Daphnia pulex: one gene and its partner. The protein of the gene in region 1 purifies or fractionates together with the protein of each later gene. This does not show direct contact. Links are inferred from orthologs where the notes say so. Each region holds a gene or a part of one and is shown on either strand. Other genes may lie near its edges. The genes, in order: retinoblastoma-like protein 1 and transcription factor Dp-1-like.

Region 1 (11,521 bases):
GATAAACACTTTTAACGACGAATAAATTTGTAACAAATTATTGTTAATTACATCGCCTTCCATTAGGCTGAATTTCGTAAAATTATGTTTTCTTTTGCAGGGATGATGCCGTTATGGTTGTGGCTTTTGTCTCCATTTTTCCTGCCGCCGGGATCGTCCGTGCAGGTGCCTTTCCTGGACATGGCCGTGTCGCTAATATTGCTAACCGTTCCACTCGGAATTGGACTTTTGATTCGTCGATTTAAGCTTTCTGTTGCCGAATTTCTCACCGTAAAAATCATCAAACCGGTGAGTAGTTAATTTTTTTTGGGGGGGGGGGGGCGAATTAAATTTAATACAGTTTTCATTTTTTTTGTTTTTCTAGTTCTCCTTCTTCTTCATATTTTTCATTTTTGGGGTAAGTCATTCTTTACTTTTAAGGATAATTGATTGTTGCGTTAAAAAAATTCGATTTAATGCATTACTCTTACTGTGACCTGACGCAATGTAAAAGATAACGGCATCAAAATCTAAAAATGCCTGATCAAAGTTCATTTTTGGCTATTGACAGCTGGGTTTCTACAGCATGTCCCATATCTTCATTCTCCTGGACTGGACTTTACTGACCGCCGGTCTGGCGGTCACGGTTGCCGGCTTCGTGTTTGGAGCCTTTTTCGCTTGGATAACGCGACTCGGTCGACCACAAATTATCGCTGTGTCATTAGAGACAGCCATGCAAAATGCCAATATAGCCTTTGTTCTCCTCAAGACGACTCTTCCAACTCCGTACAGCGACATTGCTGCCCTGCCGGCGATTGCTCAAATTTTGATGACAACTTCAATCCTGTTCATCTTTTTCGGCATCATCATGGCATACAGATGCGTTAAGAACCGTGGCTGCAAGAAAAAGGAAGAAAAGGTCGAAGAGGAAGAAGAAACCACAAAGTCCTTGATGCTAAAAGATTACACTGATGGCAGCAATGGAAATGCCAAAAAAGTCGAAACGCCACCTCCACAATACTACGGTGGACAAGTTACTCCCGAGTTTTCATGGGCAAAACGACCAAGTCTCATTGTGCCTAGTTCGCCAACCATCGATCCGAGAATTATCGCTTGATGACACCATATATATAGCCAAAAAATAAATAAATAAATAAATAATGTTTTGTTATAGAAAATGAAGACTTGTCTCGTTGAAATCTTGCCTTGCGTTACCCATCTGCCTTTTTATTTTATTTTTCTTTATTACCCGAATAAAATTTACCCATGACAAGTGAGTAACTGTGTAAAACGACAAAAAACAGCCCACGCGCTTGAACAAAATACACACAAATTTAAGTCTGTTTTCCCTCATTACTATCTTAAATTAGATATCAAATCCAGCTGAGCATTGAAAGTCAGTCATTGGTCAATTAAAGTCGTGTGATCTACAATACCAACGACGCACAGATAGTCAGCGGGCGCAATCAGTAAAAGTTGTTCAAACAGAATTATTCATTGACGCAACGGCAGAAACACTCGCAACATTTTGAAATCAAATTGTCAGACTCGGTGACGATCCGATTGCAAATACTTTCCTAATCGAAACATTTTAATGATTATGGTTCACCTGTTTAATATTCCCCTTCCAAGCGCTTGCTTGGAAATGTTTTGTTTTCTCATCTGTACACTATTATCGTTGATATTTTAACACACTCATCTGCACTACAAACAAATAATTGCCCTTAACCAGTAGAGGTCCTGTAAATGAATAATAAGATTACATACAGATGTGAAATATTGAAAGCCATATGTTTGTAATTATGCTCCAAACAAAGTTACTACACATTCTTTTACTCAAAAGTCTCATGGGAAAAATCTCAAAACTGAAATAGTGATTGTGAAACTAGAAAAAAAAAACGTTGCAATTTCCCCAAGATGGTTGATGCGGCTACTTCAACGTTCGTACTCATCACCGATATCTCACTTCCATATGATTCAAGTCAAGCAACACAAACCATTCCATTAACATTCAACACCGACCCATAGCCAACATGACAATACAAATTCCACAATCAATTAAACAAAGAGAAAAAAAAATCAGAAAAAAAAATCAGAAAAAAACCTATTTTGTGATTCTACTAATAAGGTTGAGAATAACAAAAAATTGGGGAAAAATTAAAAGAAGAATGGTCAAGACCAAATAGTTTGGGAGGTTGGTTACCTCTCTTATTTTGTTGAGGGAGGATGAACCAGAAAAAGGAAAGTAGTGTTAATCTGTTCAGATGCATGAGTTGAGATAAAGAAAAGTGAAAACGAAGGGGAAAAGGAACGCAGGGGGGAATCAAAGCCAGATGACGAGGGAGAAGGGTCAGAAAAATCAAGCGAAATAGGTTGCAGCTAAGTGTCAATGACATGTCCTTCAATGAAAAGAGATCTTGCGCGCCGCACCGGCGTTTTCGACTGTCATGGCGAATTTGGGCGGAGGTGGAGCCATAGCAGCGTCGGCTGCGTCTCGTGGACCAATCTCGTAGGAGAGCAGGCGTTTCGTCGGACGCTCTTCGCGTAAAAAGGCATTGATGGCCTGAAGATCTTTCGACGGGCTACGATTAAAGCTATAACGCATAGGCAGCGGCGAATGAGAGATGACATTGCCTTTAAGCGGACTAATAAAGACCGTATGCTTTGCAGACACTTTTCGACGCGGAGAAACAGGAACTGGGCGCTGTAAAGGCAAAGGCGACAAGGGCAATGACTCCTATATAGGGAATAAAACAAAAATTTAGTCACTTGATATTTAGCAATAAAGAATGATTAAAATGCACTACCAGACGGTTCCTGTTTGAGAATTTAAGAGCAAAGGCCTGAAGTCGACGAACGTAGACCGTGTTGTAGAATAGAATCAAATCTCCTCGATCTTCGTACTCGAAGCTGGATGAGGTGCCAGCTAAACCTGTCGGGGTAGGTGGACAGGACGAAGGCTGAGGGAAAGGCAATGTCGACGAAGAACGAACTGGTGGAAGTGCCTTCTCTCCATTGGTTTCAGCTTTCTTTTCGTCACCGTTAACTTTAACAGTAGACCCAGTAGCTGCTTCATCGTCTTCTTCGCTGGGAGAAGGACTTGGAGTGGTCGAAGGATGATTACCTCCGGTTACTGATGACGCCGAACCTGAGGTAGACGAAGCAGATCCACGGCGTGCTTTGGTGCATAGCAAAACACTGCGATATACGTGACTCGAAGCATGGGGTTGTGTTCGATAGCAGCGCATAATATCGGTAAAGTTCTTGTCTCTACCAGTTACCTAAACAAGTAAAATAATTAAAACCCAAGTCTTAAAATCTAATTTAATCTCCCTTTAGAGAATAGCACCAGAATTCAACTAACCTTACAAATTACGTAGACTGCACACATCAAAATTTGATCAAGGTGACGATCTTGCATTAAATCGCTATGCTTCATCACCGAAAACTCGAAACATGTCCAGATCTTCTTACGCAAGTCTTCTTCATACAACTCGAGACGATTGCACAAGTCTTGTAGCCGAACGGATGCCAAATGATAAAACTGCAACAAAAAAGATTAAAATAGTTTGTTGAATTATCTCGCAATATTAACAGCCATTAGAAGTCTACAAACCTTTCTAAAAAATAGACTCAGGGATCCCGTTCTCTTAGGTTTATTGTCAGCCGTTGTTACCACACTGGGACTGGGCAGAAGTTCCATTTTCTGATCATTTAATTCCAGTTTGGAAGAAGCCTTTATTGCATTGCCAACAGAAGCAGGAGTAGCCGCTGTATTAGAGGGACTTGGCGGAACTGTTTCAGGCCCGGGAAACAATTTCCTCCTTGACGATTGGGCTGGCGTACGTTCATTTACTGACGCCACCGATGACACGGGTGATTGCAGAAGAGCTAGTAACAAGCAACATTCAATTTCAAGATCAAAGTTTGATAATATATTGTACTTACAGGCAGCAAGACTAGATTCCGCTCTCTTATTGGTGACGTAAGTCGATGGCGAATAAGGTATTGGCTGCTGCGGAGTGTTTCTGACTGGATCTGATGACTGGACGACAGCCGGAGTCTGCGGAGCAGAAGGGGTTGGTGGCAGAAGTTGGCTTGGTAGCGAAACTTCTTCACAAGAAGGAATGGGTTGATCGCAGCTCTTTAAGTATTCCCACAAGGGACTTTGGTAACGCCATGCCATAGATTCGAGAATTTGCTCTTCCATGTGATTTAGGTGCTTTACTACGTCGCGAGATAAATCTTCAGCCCGAATGAGTACTTCAATTACCTATAACCGACCAAGATTTCTTTTGAATGAGCATGATAATGACGGCAATAATGTTAAGTACCTTATAAAAGTAGAAAGGTTGAATAGGAAAGACTTCCAAGATCCATGGGAATGTGCGCTGGGAGTTGTAAGAGAACAGAACAATCTCTAGGCAACAAGTGATCAAAAGCTGATGAAGCATATCTTGTTGTAGAATTCCTGACAAAAAAAAAAGAGTAATACAATGTGAAACATGAAATGAAAATAAAATTCAGATTTAGTACCTGATAGATCTGTGCCTGCCTTGAGACGTCTGCGTTCGTCGATGATGATTTTTTCCAAAACCTTGTAGTACAGGCTTTCTCCTAACTGCAGACGTTTGCGAGCCATATCCATACTGAAACCATTAGTGCGCCCTTCATCGGCCTGATTGACATAGTGAGCGCAGAATTTCTCGCCCATTTCCTTAACCCTGGCTTGAATACTCTCCCCTGGATTGTTAGAACACTCACTGAAAATACGTCTGAGCTCCTCGCTAGGTCCCGTTTGACGACCGGAGACCAGAGCCTGCAGCCGGCTGACACTTTGAGTGGCTGTCGATACGGGCGTTACCGATCCAGGTTCTTTGGCTTTGAGGAAATTTCGACCGGTCAAAGGCGTGGCCAGCGCCAGGTGATGTGAACCATCGAATTGTGATTGCAAATTGCGGCGGGCTGGGTAGACCATCAGCTTTTGTTCTTCGAAAGAAGCTATACTGTTGAAAGTGGCTTTCACCGGGGTTCCTATCTCTGTTAGAGCATCAGGACTGGAGAAAATACGCTCGTCGAAATCGCCGACACGATGCACGTAATCCTCATAGTCATTGTTGACCACTTTCTTGTTTAAGTCAAAGACAGATGTGTCAAGAATTCCGCATAGAGTCCTTTTGTCACCCTTCAGTACCTCTTTTTCGATGAGGCTTTTCACGTAAGGTCTGAGAACATGCGTTTTGATTCGCTTGACGTCAACAACGGTTTTTTCGTCCTGGCTGCTGTTTCTTGAGTAAAGACACTCAACGATGCAGCCAGGTTCAGTAGGGGCTTTGTAATCACGACTGTGGAAGTCGCTAGGCAGACCAGGAAATTGAGGGTTGAAGAGTTCTCGGCGATTGGCAACAAGAGAATTTCCGTAGATGTAATCAAGACAAGCTAGTAGCAAATGAAAGCAGCTGACTAGCTCTTCGTGGATCTGTGAGAAATTAGTCTTAATGCGTACGAAGAAAGCCCAGCAAAAGTCGTAAACATCTTTTGCAGAGCAAGGAAGTTTGCGTGACTTCCGAGAACGTGGCTGTCTAGGAGGGTCGTTAAGCGGATCTTGGAAGATTTCTTTGAACATCTCATCATACTTCTTGAAAATCACAGAGCAGACTTCAAAGTTACGTTCCAAGCTAACAAACTTGCGACGTAGTTCTTCAGACAGGTTTGCCATGTCTGCCCATTTCCTCGATTTGTCAAAGAAATCTAGCATGCTGATGTTGCATTTTCGTCTGAGTTGAGTAAGACTAACACAGTTTCCCTCTACTGTTCCAACTTGTCCCACAGTTGGAACAGTGCTGTTTCGGCAAGCAACATACAAGGCGCAACATAGCCAATGGATTCGATCACCCTAACAAAAGAAAAAGAAAACAGATTAGACCATGGGGAAACTAGGAACAAATCTGCCGTCAACAGCATTGTAATTACTGCTAAGCTTGTAAATGGTGTAATTTGTCTGACACAACCCACCAGACAATGACAATAACTGATAACAGACCAGTAACAAGTTAATCTCTTAACTCTGCATTGCAGATTTACCTCAAGAGTGTAGTTGGTGGAAAGAGTTTCATAGTTTCGCCAGGCTTCATCGGCTGTGTTTTTGTCAATGTTGAGATCGGCACAAAGGCCGCGAAACCTCTCCTCAGTGTTTTCTTGGTCGGCATCTTCAGACAGACCCATTTCGAGTAGTCAATAAGCCAGTAACTATTAAATCAGTAGAGTAGCTATGCTTATTAATAACGGAAACCAGCTACATCGGACGCAAAACCGGAGATCACAAGTAACACAAACTGCAGCCCACTGTATCAGACGTAGAAAAAACCCACACAAAGCTTACACTCGGCGATTCGTGGCGGGAATTCCCAGTTTTTCTCCAGACTGGCCCTTGCGCCCTCTTGCTGAACAGAGCCTCTAGCGGTGAATAAGATCTGGGGTGGGGACCACAACCAATATTTGGCGCGAAATGAAATCAGCTGTATGGAGACATACATAAAAAGGCCAGACAGTTTTTAATTAGCCATATAAATCACATAGATACGAACTGAACGATTACGAAGATGCAAGGAATTAAAATTAAAATTAATTCATGTTCTGATTTTAATAATGGATACGGTTGGAAATTTTCTGTCTATTGAAAATCTTAGTAATGTAGCATCCGCTAGATGCCTTCACCGAACACGTTTTGTGTACAATATTCCCAGGCCTTGGCTATTTTAATGAATAATAATAATTTTAATTTGGTTTAATTGTTTGTCTGTCTGCTCTTTCTGACTGTCACTGCTGTCTAGGTTCTAGCCTCTAGCACTGTCTAGCTTCTTTTTTTGACTAATATTGATGACTTGATGGTTAGGTAAAATAGATGAGCGCGTTTGAATGGATTAAGAACGATTTAAGAATTTTATTGTTTGATTATTGTAACATTATTGGGTTATTCAAAGCTGAACCTTTCTGTGATCATATTCTTACTTTAATTTTGTGCAGGCAATGGAGAATTACTTGTCAATGCATGAAAGTGAACTAGGTTTCGAGTGTTTTTCAAATTTCACTCCTGCTGAAGTTTTTGTTCAAGGTCTTGCAGGGTTCACTAACCAACATGACATTGATCACATAATTCGGGCACAGAAACAAATGTAATTTTGGAGAAGTTCAAGTAAACTCCATACTATTCACACTATACTTAAATTTATCATTTTCTTACTTTGACTTTGTATAGGCTTCAACGGTTTGAAAAGACAAATGAAATGCTAGTCAACTGTAATACTCTGTCCCAAGTTCACCTTCAAAAGGCTAATGTAGAATTCAAGAAGCATGCACAGCTTTTGAATGAAGTAAAAAAGGACTTGGAGAATATCTTCAAGAGAATCAAAATCATGAAAGCCAAAGCAGCATCTCAATACCCACATCAATTTGAAGGCTAGTTCATACTGCATACATACATTTTTTAATTATTTTTTTTTAAGCTTATCCAAAATAATTGTTTTGATAAACAGATGCTGTAAGTAAAATTCAAACACCCATAGCAGAGGAGGATGAAAAAACAAAGGATGTATAATCTACACTACTTGAAAATGGCTTGCACTCATGATTTTGTGTTTAAATGTTAGAAATATAATTGAAGACTTCAATCAGTCATTATTTAAAAAATATAACATCGTCAGTTTTGATAGTTTGTGCATATATTTACAGCCGGAAAAGGTGCTGTTGAAAATCATAGTATTGCGCATCGGAGCCTATATACGTGTAGGCTACTTTCCTAAGATAAAAATGAAACACTAAGGCTAGGGATTATTTTTGTCGAATTTTATGTATTCTAGTCTTAACAGAGGTTTCGTAAATGTTATACTCTTTAATGTACCAATGATGCGGCTCTCTGTTTCGAATGATATTTTTGTAGCTCTCAAACAAATTTGAATGTTATTTTCTGAAATTAGGCCTATGTATGTTATGGAACCCAAAACGGCAAACGATTTTAATGTCAATGGAATTATTTGTAATTAGTAGAATAATAAGAATAAATATAGATCGGCAGGAGATAGAAAAATAAACATTTTTAATGTCATAAAGTTCCATAAAAAAAGCTAGGCCATATTATACTGTTATTTTATTAGCAAAAATGTTGTGAGAAGAATTATTACAACTACGAAACTACGAAATATAAAAGGATATGCTAAATTTTTTAAAACAATGGTTTCAGATATCATCAGTATAAGCGCGTGTCTGAAAGGAAGGGTAATAACCAATAATTCCAAGCTTTATCACTGGGTGAGTTGCGGCCTTGCGGGAAGGGCGGTCGTGAGTCTGCCGCTAGAGTCTGACGAGAAGACGAATTCGCAGGCAGGCAGCAACGCTGTTTAGCTGTCAAAAATAAATTGCAAGTATTCAATTGTTGAAAACACGTTTACACTTAATTAACAATTCCAGTTGACCTGTTTCGTGGTTTCGTGCTTTTTCTTTTTCAGTTTTTTATTCAACCTCCTCATCCTCTAAATGGCCGATTTTTTAAAGTCAGCTGCTAACTATTTTACAGCAAGTAACAATGGCGCTTCTGAGAATCCTCTCATTGGAGCTATGGTCAATGTCAATTCGGTGCAGCTTCGGATAAAACGTCAAATTGGAGAAGGTGATTTCGTTGTTACACGTTTCATATGAATTAACTATTTACAACTTATGGCCAATCTTAGGTGGATATGCTTTTGTTTTTATTGCCCAAGATGTACAGAGCAATCAAGATTACGCTTTGAAAGTAATATAGAAACAAGACCATAGAATTAAATTTAACATGTACTATTATAATATGTATCTGATTATTCAATTTAATAGAGACTCATTGCAGCTGATACCGATGCTGTCAAAAGCATTATACAGGAAGTAGCATTTTTGGTAATTTGATATTAGATTGTTTCAAATAACATGCATTCAAAGTCCTTAGTTTTATTACATCATTTTTTCAGAAAAAACTAGCTGGTCATCCTCATGTGATCAATTTTATTTCTGCCTGCTGTAATGATAGAGGAGGAGGTTCAAAAGAATATTTAGTGGTCACTGAACTTTGTTCAGGTATCAGTACAGTTTCTTTTACCAATAAAAAATATATGTATGTATATTTTGTATTGGTTATATTTACAGGAGGAGCCTTGTTTGATGCATTGAGAGTACGAAACTCTCCATTAACACCAGAAGAAGTTAGTTCAGTATTTTGGCAAACATGTAAAGCTGTTCAAGCCCTTCACACCCTGGAACAACCTATAATCCATAGAGATCTTAAAATTGAAAATTTGCTCCTCACTGCTGATGGTGTTATCAAATTGTGTGACTTTGGGAGTGCTACAACCCAGCAGTAAGTTTTGTTCACCATTTACTGTTTTCTGGTCATTTTTATCTTCCTTCCTTAGTACTGTTTCTTCATCCTGAATTACCATTGATTAGTTATGCTATTAGCTTTTTTTTCTTGTTCTAATAATAGAATATATTTTATAGACATTTTCCTGGCCCTGATTGGACGGCATCTCAACGGGGTTTGCTTGAAGAAGAGATGGCTAAACATACTACACCAGTATACCGTGCTCCTGAGATGATTGATACTTGGAGCAATTATCCTATCACGACCGCGGCAGACATATGGGCTTTAGGATGTGTACTTTATGTTCTATGCTATCAGGTTAAGCACACTATTTTCCTGGTGCAGCGATAGTTTAAGATAAATATTTTATCATTAGACGCACCCTTTTGAAGATGGAGCCAAATTACGAATCATTAATGGCAACTTTTCGTTGCCTAGCAATGACGGTCGATACGACATCTTCCATGACATTATCCGTGGAATGCTAAAAGTATTTTATAATGATTTGCAAGTATTTTAAAAGAAATATAATATATTCTGTTCCCCCCTCAGGTTGATCCACGTGCACGGTTAACTATAAGTGAGGTACTTGATCGTCTAGCAGCCATTGGAGAAACGCGAGGATACCAAATGAAATGTGGACTTAAGGTGAATTTGCCCAGTCAATCAGCCATGCCACCGCCTTCTGCCCGCCCAAGTGCATCTGTCGTTACCCAGTCATCACCTCAGCCACCTCGTCGACCTCCACCACCAAATCCAATAGCTAATCAGCTACACCATATCGCAACTCACCCTGCTCCATCTATGCATTCAACGACATCTTCTCAACCTACGATGGGATTATTATCATCCTTGAAAGGAGGAGCGGGGAGCCTTTTTAAAAACTTGAAGGTAGAATTTTCATCTTTTTTTAAATATTTAAGTATGAAAATCTACATACTTTTTCTAGGATACATCGACTAAAGTCATGCAAACAGTGCAGCAAAGCATGGCACGGTCAGAGCTTGATCTTAGCTACGTTACATCGCGATTGATTGTTACCTCATTTCCAGCTGAAGGAATTGAGTCAGCCTATCGTCACCACATTGACGATGTGCGAAATGCTCTAGACACTCGCCATGGATCTCACTATGCAGTCTACAATGTTTCAGGACGTTCGTATGCATCCACCAAGTTCAACAACTTGATTTGTTGTGGTTGGCCCCAGCGACAAGCTCCTTCATTGAGAACTTTGTACATATTCAGTATTTATCCTGTTGTAGACAACTTCTGAAGAATTTTTTTTTTGCAATTTTCAGATATGCTTTGTGTAAGAGCATGTATAATTACCTTGACCGCGACACTAAAAATGTCTGTGTTCTTCACTGCATGGATGGAAAGGCATCATCGGCAGTGGTTGTAGCAGCACTCTTTCTTTACACTCAGTTATTTCGTTCTATCGAAGAGGCCCTACAAATGTTTGCCGTTAAACGGTATCCTCCCGGTCTTAACGCTTCACAGTATCGATATCTTAATTACTATATGAGTCTGCTGGTTGAACCTCATCCTATACGGCCGCATCACAAGCCTGTCACTCTAGCGACTTTGACTTTAAGCCCAGTCCCAATTTTTACCAAAAATCGGGATGGATGTCGCCCATATGTTGAGATCTTCCAAGGTGATCAGCGACTTCTCTCAACACTGACTGAGTATGAACGCATGCGTGTTTATCACGTTTCAGAAAATAAGGTATATATTTATGGCCTGTTTCTTCCTCATACACACACTCTTATAACAAGTCCGTTCTTTTGATGTTAGGTTACGCTACAACTAAACACAACTGTGTGTGGCGACATTACTGTTGTTGTGTACCATGCTCGCAATACGCTTGGGGGTGACTTCAAGTGAAGACTTCAATCAGTCATTATTTAAAAAATATAACATCGTCAGTTTTGATAGTTTGTGCATATATTTACAGCCGGAAAAGGTGCTGTTGAAAATCATAGTATTGCGCATCGGAGCCTATATACGTGTAGGCTACTTTCCTAAGATAAAAATGAAACACTAAGGCTAGGGATTATTTTTGTCGAATTTTATGTATTCTAGTCTTAACAGAGGTTTCGTAAATGTTATACTCTTTAATGTACCAATGATGCGGCTCTCTGTTTCGAATGATAT
Region 2 (11,358 bases), on another chromosome or scaffold:
ATGCAGAACAAAACAAAAAACACAAGAATAATTACTTTAGAGACTCTTCTGGTTCTCCTAAGCCATAATACAGTTTAGAAAGCTTCATGAAAGCGCCGGTATTATCGGACATCAATTTGGTAGCTGCTTTTAAATCTGAAATAGCCTTTGATGCCTCTCCAATAGCTAGATAACACTCTGAGCGCATCTCTCGCAAACCAATATCCCAAGGGCAAATCTAAAGAAAGAAAATGTTAGCATAGTAGCAAGAAATCATTTGCAAGAAAGTTTATAAAAACATACATCAATAACTTGGGTTAAGAGATCAATGGCATGGTGGTAATCCTTGTCACTGAAAAACATTTGAGCTTGCATGTAACTCTTCTTCAATGATTCAATTGCTATGTAATTTTTGTTGACTTCACTATTTGTTGGTTCCTTTTTAAGCTGTGAAAGATAGACATATAGGAAATATTTTTTAATTAACTTGACCATAATAACATGTATACTTACAACTTTTTCCAACTCAATATGTGCCTCATGCAAACGCCCAAGCTTCATTAGGATATTTCCCTTCTGAGCTCTGGCTTGAATGAAATCTGGTTGGATTTCAAGAACACGATTCAAATCTTCTAATGCAGCTCTTGCTCTTCCCTGGGCAAGATATACAGTAGCTCTTCTGTATAATGTTAAGTAGTTAGAAGGATCTCCTTCTAGAGCTGCATGGAAATGGGTGAGTGCATCTTGGAGTTGGCCCTTAGCCATCATTAATTTACCAAGCTCTAAATGCTTTTCAATTTCCGAGGGATTGGCGTTTCCGTGAACTGTATAATGAAAAATAAATACATAAGACGTTTGAATCACAAGGACAATTTACATGAGTTGAAGAAACCGGCTTGTACCTTCGATGATTCCGATGCTAACGAGACAAATTAAGATTGAATACATTTGTCTTGAATGTGGGCCCCAATCAGCCATTTTTAAAGTTATCATTCTATTTTTTAAACTTAAGAGCTTTAAGAAGCCACAAGGATCACTTCAGACTGATAATAGAATAATCGTCTGTGATGTGGCCCAATCAGAAGACATTACGTGACAAACAAAGCCATCTGTTGTTTAGAATTTCAAGCTCGTGGGTAGATATTGAGTAACAGAGCAGACAACATTACAAAAACGTGACGAAACCTCTTGTCCTCCGAACGAAAAAATGGTAATATTTCAAAGTAAATTTTATTGTGTATAGTGAAACTAAAGTTTTGCTATTAATGTCTACTATGTAATTCAGTCAACAGCGATAGTTGTTGGTCTTGGACTGGCTGCTGTCGGATTTGCTGGTCGCACACTGCTTCGATCTGCTCCCACAATGACGACGAAGTTTAACGAAATACTCAAGCAGTTTCCTATGGATACTGAGGTATTAGATAGAATTAATTGTAAATGTTGATATTTTTCTACTTATGGTAATGTTCTTATTATCATTTTTTCAAATATTTTTTGTAGTCTCTTCTTGGAAGCAAGTACTACAAAGGTGGTTTTGATGCCAAAATGTCCAAAAGAGAAGCATCTTTAATACTTGGTGTATCACCAACAGCCAACAAAATCAGAGTGAAAGAAGCCCATAAAAGAATAATGCTTGCAAATCACCCAGATAGAGGTGGCTCACCATATTTAGCAGCTAAGATAAATGAAGCAAAAGATTTCATGGATAATTTGAAATAAAACATCTTTTGTGCAGGGGAGAACTATAGATTTCATTGTAAATAATCTAACTTTAGTAACATTTGTTCAAATAAAAGAGTCAACAGCTTCAATAATTGTATGTTTTGTATAATCAATTATTATTCATTTAGACAATTTGCAATTTGGAGGATGAATGTAGTTTGTTTGCTGTTCAGGTAAAATTACTATGATTGATTCAGCTAGTATATTTTACAACTTTTTCCAACATACTCATAAAGATGTAGAAAACAAAAATTAAAATATTACATTTCACTAGGAACACATAAAGAGAAACAAAACGGGCCCACGGGGAGATACCAAATGCCCGAGGCTATAAATCGGTACCGTTTGATTTGGCAACATTGTTCCATCTTTTCTTAGCAGTTAACAGACGAAAATACGTTTTTCAACATTATTGTCCTGTCGCTCTTGGATTCTTTCTCCAACTCAAGAGTCTTAAGAATTGTTGAGGAAACACCAATAGTGTTTTCAAATAAGGCTCATTTGTTAATTAACTACAGTCAGTTAAAGTTTATACTTCACGGTGATTAAAATGAAGCCAAATGTAGTTGTTGATGAAATGTTTCCTGAAGGTTAGTAGTCCACCATTCACCATCGTGATTAACATGATGATTACCACAGCCAATATTTTTATGGATTTTTTTTACATACATAGGTGCTGGCAGCTACATGGACCTAGATGAGGTAAGCATTAATCAATTGATTTTAAAAATCTAGTCTAGATGTATAGTAAACTGATTTCCCATTCAAATCATTTGTTAAATATTACAATTCCAAAATATATTCAAACATGTCATCTGAAAATCATTTGATAGCATTACAAAGATCCTAGACAAAGATACAAATTTTTTTGGAAAAACAGCAATTAATTGAACACGATGTTAATAATACCAACTTTTTTCCTTTTATATTCTAATTTAGCTGTTACTTGCCATTTTAAGATATCTAATAAGTTTATATCAATGTTAATTTAGCAATCTGCTGGTCCCTCTGGAATGATTGTTGATTTGACATCAAATGAGAAGGCTGTCCATGGTGATTTTTACAATGGTTTGATAAAATCTCATGTTTACAAAGTATTCAGTAATAAGAAAATTTTTCTTTTCATAGGATTTGTAGACTTGTGTGATGATGATGATCTCTTGTAAGAATGAATAACAACTTAACTGCTACTATTCTTATTCTTTTTTTGTAATGTGTACTCATGAAATGTAAGGTAATACAGTTGTGAAGTTTGCAATAAATACCCATCATAGGGCAAAGTGAAATGGAATAGTTTATAGCCAGCAAAGACTATTGATGCACCCGGACATGCTCGTGTCAACGAGATGGATGAACAAGATATGAACACTAAGAGACGAAAATAACGAACGACATTGTTTTTGTACGACGGTAAACAAAAATGAACGAAGAAAACTGTTATCGACAATGAAACCTCACTTCTACTCGAAAATACATCGACAGGCACTTTTGCAAATATTCATCACCTGAGTTTTCAATGTTTCCAGTTGTCGATGCGGTCTCCTATACCGACAAGAGCTCACTCCGTCATCTTAATAGACACACACACGCGGTTCAGATTCCCACGAAAATCATCGATGGATACTCTCACTTGGCTTAAATTGGCGACATTGAAAAGGAGGTTCTAAGGAAAGGGTAAACACTGAACCGAGAACAAGCGAAGAGAAATGCATCCAATCAGCGAGGACAGCCGCATGTAAAGCGACAGTAGAAATGGACGCAATGAGACAACGCATCAGTAGAACCACACCCTTTAATTGATTTCCACGTCGGAGTTGTCTTCATCGTCATCCACATCGTCATCCTCGGAGTCTGAGAAACCTGTTGAGACCGACGCTGTAGGTGTAACTGCTCGAACACCTTGATTTCCAAAGTGATCTGAGGTTTCCTTAACCACAGGATTGACGTCCTCTGGCCACTGTGGCTCGGCCTGACCGCTAGCCAACTGATCTACATAATGTTCCAACGCTTTTGGAACATAAGACTTGGCCTAAAACGAGAAAAATTTAAAAATTAAGATAAACTTTAAAAATAAAAGAACAAAAATACCTTGGCGAGATTCTCTTCAGTACAAGTGGCCTCGTTAAGCCCAAGGGCCATGCCCATTCGCTTAAGGACTTCAATATCATCATGAATTTCGAAAGTATCATCAAAGGTGAAGAGATACTCCATCTTATCGCTAGATATGGAGCAGTCAATCACTGTTTTCTTGCTAGTATTTACGACCAAAAATGGTAGCTGTATGGTAGAATTACTGGCAGGGCCACCGTGAAGACGCTCATTTTGCTTGTTTCTTTGAACCTAAAGGTAAACAAGACGTGTCAGTAAAATGTTTCTGTTTTACTAGAAAAAACATTAACAACCAAGCTCTTGAAGGCGATCTGCTGAAGGACCAATTCTTGCAATTGTTGCGTCTTTTGCTTAATTCTTTCTAGCCGACGTTGCTTCTCCGCTTCCAGTGCCTGGAATTCTTGCAACGAATTTGTAGGTAAACCAAGCCACTTGATCTCTTTTTTCTCTTTCGATATGATGTTCATGGCCATGAGCACATTCAGTGCATCGTAAACCCGACGCCGAATATTTTTTTGGTCATACTGTCAATAAATTAACATTATTTCACTGATAAAAAGATGAATTTCTAATACGATACTAACTTGGTCAGCAGGTGAAGTGCAACGAGATGGATCAGTGAATTCAGCTACAAGTTCATCAGCAACCTCATTGTATGTTGTAGTACCCTTCTTCTGAACCTTTTCACACACCTTCATCGAGAAATGACGTAATCCTTTGCCTCCTTTGTCTACCTTACGCCGTTTACTATTAAAAATGAGTTTACTCATAAAACTACTCATTTGAAAAATAAAATGAAAAGTTACCTCTCAGAACCATGTTCATGGTCAGGATCTTGCCTTTTTCGTGAACCACTGTGATCAAGAATTGGGGAAATGAAGTTTTTGCCCTGTTGTTGTTGCTGATTTAAGCGTTGAGGAGTGCTCAACACAACAGGCACTACTGGTAACTGTACAGCAGTGTTTTTGTTACTCGGAGTAGATCCATTTCCTGATGATAATGGTATGGCTAGTATCTGTCCAGCTGCCACTTGTCCACGAGGTCCAGGTGCTCTTGTCACTCTGCCAAGTGACTGCAACATCTGAGGTGTGGCAGCCAAAACGGTTCCCTAAACAAATTTTCAGCCAACATTGTTAACATCTTTTACATTTTATTCAAGCACATCCTTGACTTACATTAGATCGCAGAACAGCTCTAACTGCTCCAGAAGCCATGGACACTGGAACACCTTTTCCAGCAGTGGCATGCACCACTTTTATCATTTGTGGCTGACCTGGAATGCAAACAACCATCATTTTATTATCTTGTTGAAAAGAATGAGATAATTTCTTAGTCTAGACTTTGACATACCATTTGCATCTTGGATCCAAATGTTGGTGATGTTTCCAGTTGGGGTTGACTGTGCCATCTCCTTAACCTCTTGTAAATTTATTTATATTATTTAACTGTAAAGAGAAGAGATCAAGGAAGATCCAATGTGCTGACAATGTTTTGTCAAACAAGCATCTTTGGTGGGTGGGACCAAAAGTATGATCAACTGAGCGCCGTTATAATTCGAACTTCCTGTCAAATTACAGATATCATCAAATTTCATATAGAACTATGATAGAATCTAAATAGACTAAAATGGAAATTCCCCGTATTTATTCCTCCAAATGATTTCAGAACACGATGAGCGAAATGGCGCCCAAAACGCCATCACCAGTCGATACCCCACACCGGTAAGTTTTCCCCCTTATTTTAAGATTTTTGCAGACATCTTCACTTAAACTTTCCAAGCTCAATGACAAATAGTATCCTCCTTTATTATCTAATTCACTTTATGAATAAAAAATAAAAATCCCCTCAATCCAAAACAAAAGAGACAATAGGGTTTACCTAAGGTTCTGGGCCAACTTTATACGATCGTCACTAGACACACACTGCTGTAGCATCAGCAGGCAGCTAGGCAAAAATGCACGAGGGGGTGATGATGGCACAGCAGGCCAACGGCTTAGTTTTTATTATATTTTTTTTTTCTTTATTTTTTCGTCCGGGGGGTTTACTGAGTGAGCGTCTTATATGTACGTCATATGAGACTGGGATTCAATTCAATTCTAACTTCTCCATGAGTTCGCTTTCTATCTATCGCAATTTGCAATGAAAAAAAAATCGATACTTTCAACGGGCAGAAATTCGAAATTCAAACAAACTCGTGACCTTGGGTCGTTGGGTGAGAACAAAAATATGAACAAATGATTTTCGATTTTCCTTGCTCGTTTAATTTCTCCTTTTCTCTTTTTCAAATATTCATGTAAAATACTAAGTAGCGCTAAAACATGAAGGAGAAAGAGGAAATTAATTAAGCGCAGGCAAGTGTTCAGCGATTTCGTTATTTTATTTTATTAATTTCTGAAATATATTTTTTTTATTTCGCTCTTTTAAATTGGTCTATTTTTTTAATTTGGCTGTTAATACAGTTATCGTAATAAATGTATCGTAATAACTAAGTGCTAATTTGATTAATTTCATGGGAAAAGCGTTAAATTTTTATTGAAATCGAGCATGAATATGAATGAAATCATAAATCAGAAGGCTAAGTAAAATCAAACGTCGTCTGCTTTTCCGGATACGCGGGAACCATTTCAAACATAAACTAAAATATTATTTTATCTTAAAAACTAGTAAAAAAGTAGTTTGATATTAATATATCGTTTTTTCACAGGTGTAATTCAGTGTTTTATCAAGTTGTTTAGATTCTCATAATTTTTGTTCGGTTTTCTTATTTCAGATCAATTGCTATGGCAATGTGGCAACACCGGTTCTGCCATAGAAGTATTGTCAATTGCAGAAAAAATCGAAAGAAATTTCCTAAATGAATGTTGAAGTGTTTGCGAGCCGGCGTTTAGAATGCACGTGGATATACTACCAGATATTATACTAGGAAATATTTTCTCATATTTGCCGCTGCAGGATTTAAGAAGCAGTTCGTTGGTGTGCAAACGGTGGTACAGGTACAAGTTTTCTTGAAATCAACACCAGTTTGTGACTATTCGCTAGTGATCTACCGTTGCTAACAAAACCAGCGATTGTTTGAAACTTATGTTCTCCTTGCACATTATTATTTGAATCAGTATACTGAATGATGAGGACAATGATGTCTGGAGACTGCACTGCATACGAAAACTGGCAGAAGAAGTCCTGAGCTCAGACCTCCTATCTTCCGCTCCTACCTACAAAACAAAATTAAAAGCATTTCACCATGCTTGGAACCCAGAAGACTGCTCTAGAAACATTTATATCAAACCCAATGGTTTTACCATACACAGAAACCCTGTTGCACAGAGTACAGATGCTGTGAGAGGTAAAATTGGTGAGTACTAAATATTGTAGATGCCTGTTGCAAGTGTACATATTAATCCATTCAACTAATGTTTGTGCAGGATTCAGTCAAGGTAGGCATGCCTGGGAAGTGATGTGGGAAGGTCCTCTTGGAACAGTTGCAGTTGTTGGAATTGCAACTAAAGAAGCAACTCTCCAGGTATAATTGTGTTAAAATTTGAATATTTTATCTAAAAATAATTGTCAAAATCCATGTTCACAGACACATGGATACATAGCTTTACTAGGATCAGATGACCAAAGTTGGGGTTGGAATTTGGTTGATAATCATTTACTTCATAATGGAGATTCCCAAGGCAATTACCCAATGCTGAACAATGCACCTAAATACCAAGTGATTGAGTCTAACCAATGAATGAGTTGAATCAACCTAACCTAAAGTTTTGTTGCAGGTTGGGGAGCGGATACGAGTCATTCTTGACTGTGATGACAATACATTAGCTTTCGAAAGAAACTATGAATTCCTCGGAGTGGCGTTTAGGGGCTTACCAGAGAAGCTCTTATACCCTTCGGTGTCGGCAGTCTATGGGCACACAGAAGTCTCAATGGTCTACCTGGGTCCTCCCTTGGATGGCTAACTGTCGCCTGTCCCCCTCTCCTAAACAGAAAATTTCTTTGTGTGAATCAATTTCTACAGGCAAATGCGTTTTGCCAACCAAGAAAGGATGTTGTTGTAAAAGAATCCCAAAATTCAGTGTACAAAGGTTGCGTTGGGAATACCGCTCTGACTTAAAACATTCCCGTATTTTCCCATTCTTCATTTATTTATTATTTTTTTTTTTTTCATGATTTCCCTGGTGTGTGTCAGATTATTGTAGTGTGTTACAATTCAAATTTCGTGTGGTTGTGTTTTCACGTTCAACCGAAAACCAACAAATGGTTAATCGTCCGGTCTGACTGCTACTTGCGAAATAGATTTGTATAACTTAAAATTTCCCTGTGTATGTTTGTATGACTTGGGACTGGTGATGATGCTAAAGAATAACTGAACCTCTTACTGCCCAAAGTTTGGCGTTTTGAATAAAAAAATCTAATTCGTGTTTAATTACTCGAATAAATGAAAAATGACTTGTCTACACTGCCTTTATTTAATTTTATAAATAAGCATTATTCAAACACTTAAAGGTGTTAACCAATGAGTAAGGAATCAGGTTTTCTAAGTACTCCTACATTTACCATCGTATACGAATGGATTCGATCGTTTAGGTTTTTTCTAGCCTCATTACTACTTCATGTGTGATTTTTTCTCTTCTAACGCTTCTAACTGAGAAATGTACTGATGGGCACTTGGATCCTAGATTTCTAGCAACATATTGGTCAAAAACTGTCTTGAAGGTCAAACAAAAAAGTTTGTTTAACTGTATTTCCATTACGCTCATCAAATCGAACGACGATCGAGTAAAGGCTTTAATGGTTTTTCGCATGTTGAATTAATCAAAGCGCAAAAGCAATATCATTCCAAAAATAGGTCAAAATCAAAGAAAGTTTCGTCCCCTCTTTTATGGTTTATTGTGTACGTTGACCTTCATCAACCTCATAAAGCGAAGTGTAAGTGTCATGTACCACCGGAATTTTCAGTTCTATTCGATTCACAAGCAAAGACAGCTGGTCATTTCCTCCCCATTTTCAATTTCTATTTGTACATCGCCTTAGGGGTTCCAAACCCTAAGGTAGGTGGATTGGATATTCTATTGTGTGACCAACAAAACACGTTTTCCGTCGATTTACTTTCGACCAAAAAAAAAAAAAAATCCTTGTGACGGGAATTCTGTTGCGCTGCCCAATGGCAATCCGCAAGAAAGGACAACATTGAATGCCTCTACCATCTAGCGTCAAAAATGAAGAGCGGTTCAAACAGGAAGAGTTTTCTGAATTAAATAATCACGCACTCGATAATCGGAGGCGTGTATTCATTGCCATAAATGAATGGGCATGCTAAATTATTATATAGTTTCTTTGGGTTGCGCGATAATTTCATAATTTCCAAACTGAACCATATTTATCTGTTGTCGTCACGTCGACTGAGAAGAACGACTACATTGTCGATTGAAATTTTCCAAGCCGTTCGACTATTTTTCTCTTTTTAGGACATTGCAGAAACGGGCAAAGAACTATGCTTCGGTTTGACTCGATTGACGAACACTTTAATGCAGCCGTTGAAATCCGCGCTGACAAGAACGTAGCCGTTGCCGGAAGAGGCTCCTCCTTCCACATTTGAGTTTGGTTTCGCTCCATCGGCTGTCGCCGATCCCGCTAATCGCCGACCCATCAACGCATCTCCTGATAACGAGGAAGCTTTTTCCTCTTCCTTCTCTCTTCGATGTCGCTCCATTTGCTCAATCAGTGAATGCGAATCAGGTGCGAAAACGGCCGATGTCACCACTGCATTGTGCGCTGTCGTAAATAGATGCAGAAAAGTCGATTATTCAATTTGAAAGAGAATTAATTTACAAGAAAATGGTAGTGATTAGGTAATAGTACCTTTGATGGCTTCCCAATAATCGTTGCGATCTCGACGAGCCGAAGAGAATTTGGCGTAATCATGATGTGTCTTCCACATGTAAATGTACTGATTCTCTGAACCGCTAATGATGTACTTGCCATCGTGACTAAAATTCAATTACAACATAGAAAATGATTAAATTCATTTCATTTCGGAAAATAAAAAGAAAAGAAAAGAAACTGAAGCGTAATTTAGGGCTCATTTTGTCCAGTGTGTCTAGGATGTCATAATTTATTAAAAATCTTTACGGACCCCCCCCCCCCCTTCGAATTGACGATTTATGACGTCATACGCACTAGTCAATAGGGATGCATACCAAAGAATGTTATACAATCATAGTCCATAGACGGATAGACCTACGGTGTAATGTAACATTCTAGAGAAAGTAAAATCCGCTGAAAATAATTTATCATTAGCGTGTCGTCCGGCTTAAACCATGGGCTTAGAGAGACCATGGGTATGGAGAGACTCCATAGTCCATACCCCTGGAGAAACGAACTTAGCGGTACGAATTAAAATGAAAGAATTTGGCAACGTTGACACATATTTCAGCGTTCCGTGTCACGACTGTTTGATAAGAAAACTAGAGAAGATAAGCTACAGCGATTGAAAGTGAGATAACTATTAACTGTGGAATAGATGAGTTTTTTTTAACTATAGAAATGTTATGCTAATTTATTCAAGTCTTGGTAATTAATTAAACTTTTGGATCATTCAACAATAGGAGCCATCTGGACCAAGTACTTCCACGCCGAGCGTGGAATCTCCGCCTCAGTATTTGTACCACTACACAAACTACGACAACCTCAGGAAAATTCTCAAGGACGGCAAAGTTATACAGTCCAATGCCAAAACGGCTTATGTTAACGGATCGGGTGTTTATTTGACTTCACTGGCACCGGAGTCTGGTCGAAATCGTATTTGGTGGAACAACAAAGGCGGCCGATCAAATTTTAGCGAGATATTTTTGGAGTTGCATCCGGAGGCCATACGCATTGAATGTTATTTAAAGTTTGATACAGATCGTCTGAGATCAAACGTCAAATTTCTCAAAGACACCGAACAACGAGGTCGGGATGTGTGGAAATTGGAAGAAGACATTCTCCTACAAGGGCCTGATACGTGGTACACATTTGGATTTATTGACGAACGAGGGCGGATTATGGCTAAACTCAATCAGATGCACGGGAAAGATGGATGGAAGCATTCTATCAAAGAATTGGAAATAGGTAAATTCCGACAAATCTCTCAATTTTATTCGCAATACAATCTACTACGTATGTCTTTGAAAGACTCTGCCCAAGAAACGGCGAACGGTTATTATTCCGCAATCGCTAATTCCATTATTCGGATGGAATTGAAAGATGGTACCTATCATGAAGACATTGGAACTGGCTATGCAGAAGGTCTATCATCTATGGCTACCATTCTAAAAATCCAAGCCAAAGAAGTAATGTTCACTTTTTCGTTTAAATGTAACATATTAAGAAGAAAGTAAAGATTTGGGTTTCTTTCGAGTAGAATGCCATTGTAGATGGTTTAAAACGCGCAGCGCAATATTTTGGTTTTGCGGAAGATTTTGGAGGAACACCTCGTACTCCACTGAAGAAATACGAGGGCACTCCACAAAAGGTAGGTAAAAAACTAGAATCAAATTACATGAA

The links.
Region 2: the proteins of retinoblastoma-like protein 1 (region 1) and transcription factor Dp-1-like purify together in Drosophila melanogaster (affinity purification with western blotting; 4 studies listed by BioGRID, with this or other methods). This does not show direct contact. The link is inferred for Daphnia pulex from reciprocal best matches to the Drosophila melanogaster genes Rbf and Dp.

Annotation. Positions count from the first base shown.
Region 1 is NC_060018.1:8,628,224-8,639,744, forward strand, and holds retinoblastoma-like protein 1, read right to left. Parts: upstream 6,443-11,521; 5' UTR 6,205-6,442; coding exon 6,064-6,204; intron 5,876-6,063; coding exon 4,516-5,875; intron 4,451-4,515; coding exon 4,314-4,450; intron 4,253-4,313; coding exon 3,928-4,252; intron 3,871-3,927; coding exon 3,596-3,870; intron 3,524-3,595; coding exon 3,344-3,523; intron 3,261-3,343; coding exon 2,787-3,260; intron 2,717-2,786; coding exon 2,381-2,716; 3' UTR 1,752-2,380; downstream 1-1,751. Other genes in the region: sodium/bile acid cotransporter-like, read left to right, coding at 101-288, 365-397, 551-1,096; kxDL motif-containing protein CG10681-like, read left to right, coding at 7,009-7,154, 7,238-7,437, 7,515-7,576.
Region 2 is NC_060023.1:5,713,477-5,724,834, reverse strand, and holds transcription factor Dp-1-like, read right to left. Parts: upstream 5,921-11,358; 5' UTR 5,689-5,920; intron 5,629-5,688; exon of another isoform or gene 5,374-5,628; 5' UTR 5,219-5,373; coding exon 5,161-5,218; intron 5,084-5,160; coding exon 4,986-5,083; intron 4,919-4,985; coding exon 4,617-4,918; intron 4,558-4,616; coding exon 4,395-4,557; intron 4,335-4,394; coding exon 4,104-4,334; intron 4,042-4,103; coding exon 3,790-4,041; intron 3,731-3,789; coding exon 3,494-3,730; 3' UTR 2,901-3,493; downstream 1-2,900. Other genes in the region: dnaJ homolog subfamily C member 3-like, read right to left, coding at 36-217, 283-426, 493-803, 882-972; mitochondrial import inner membrane translocase subunit TIM14-like, read left to right, coding at 1,187-1,189, 1,265-1,393, 1,480-1,698; F-box/SPRY domain-containing protein 1-like, read left to right, coding at 6,700-6,803, 6,924-7,162, 7,233-7,330, 7,394-7,525, 7,584-7,769; WD repeat-containing protein 44-like, read right to left, coding at 9,275-9,585, 9,673-9,800. UniProt on the Drosophila melanogaster protein: Component of the DREAM complex, a multiprotein complex that can both act as a transcription activator or repressor depending on the context. In follicle cells, the complex plays a central role in the site-specific DNA replication at the chorion loci.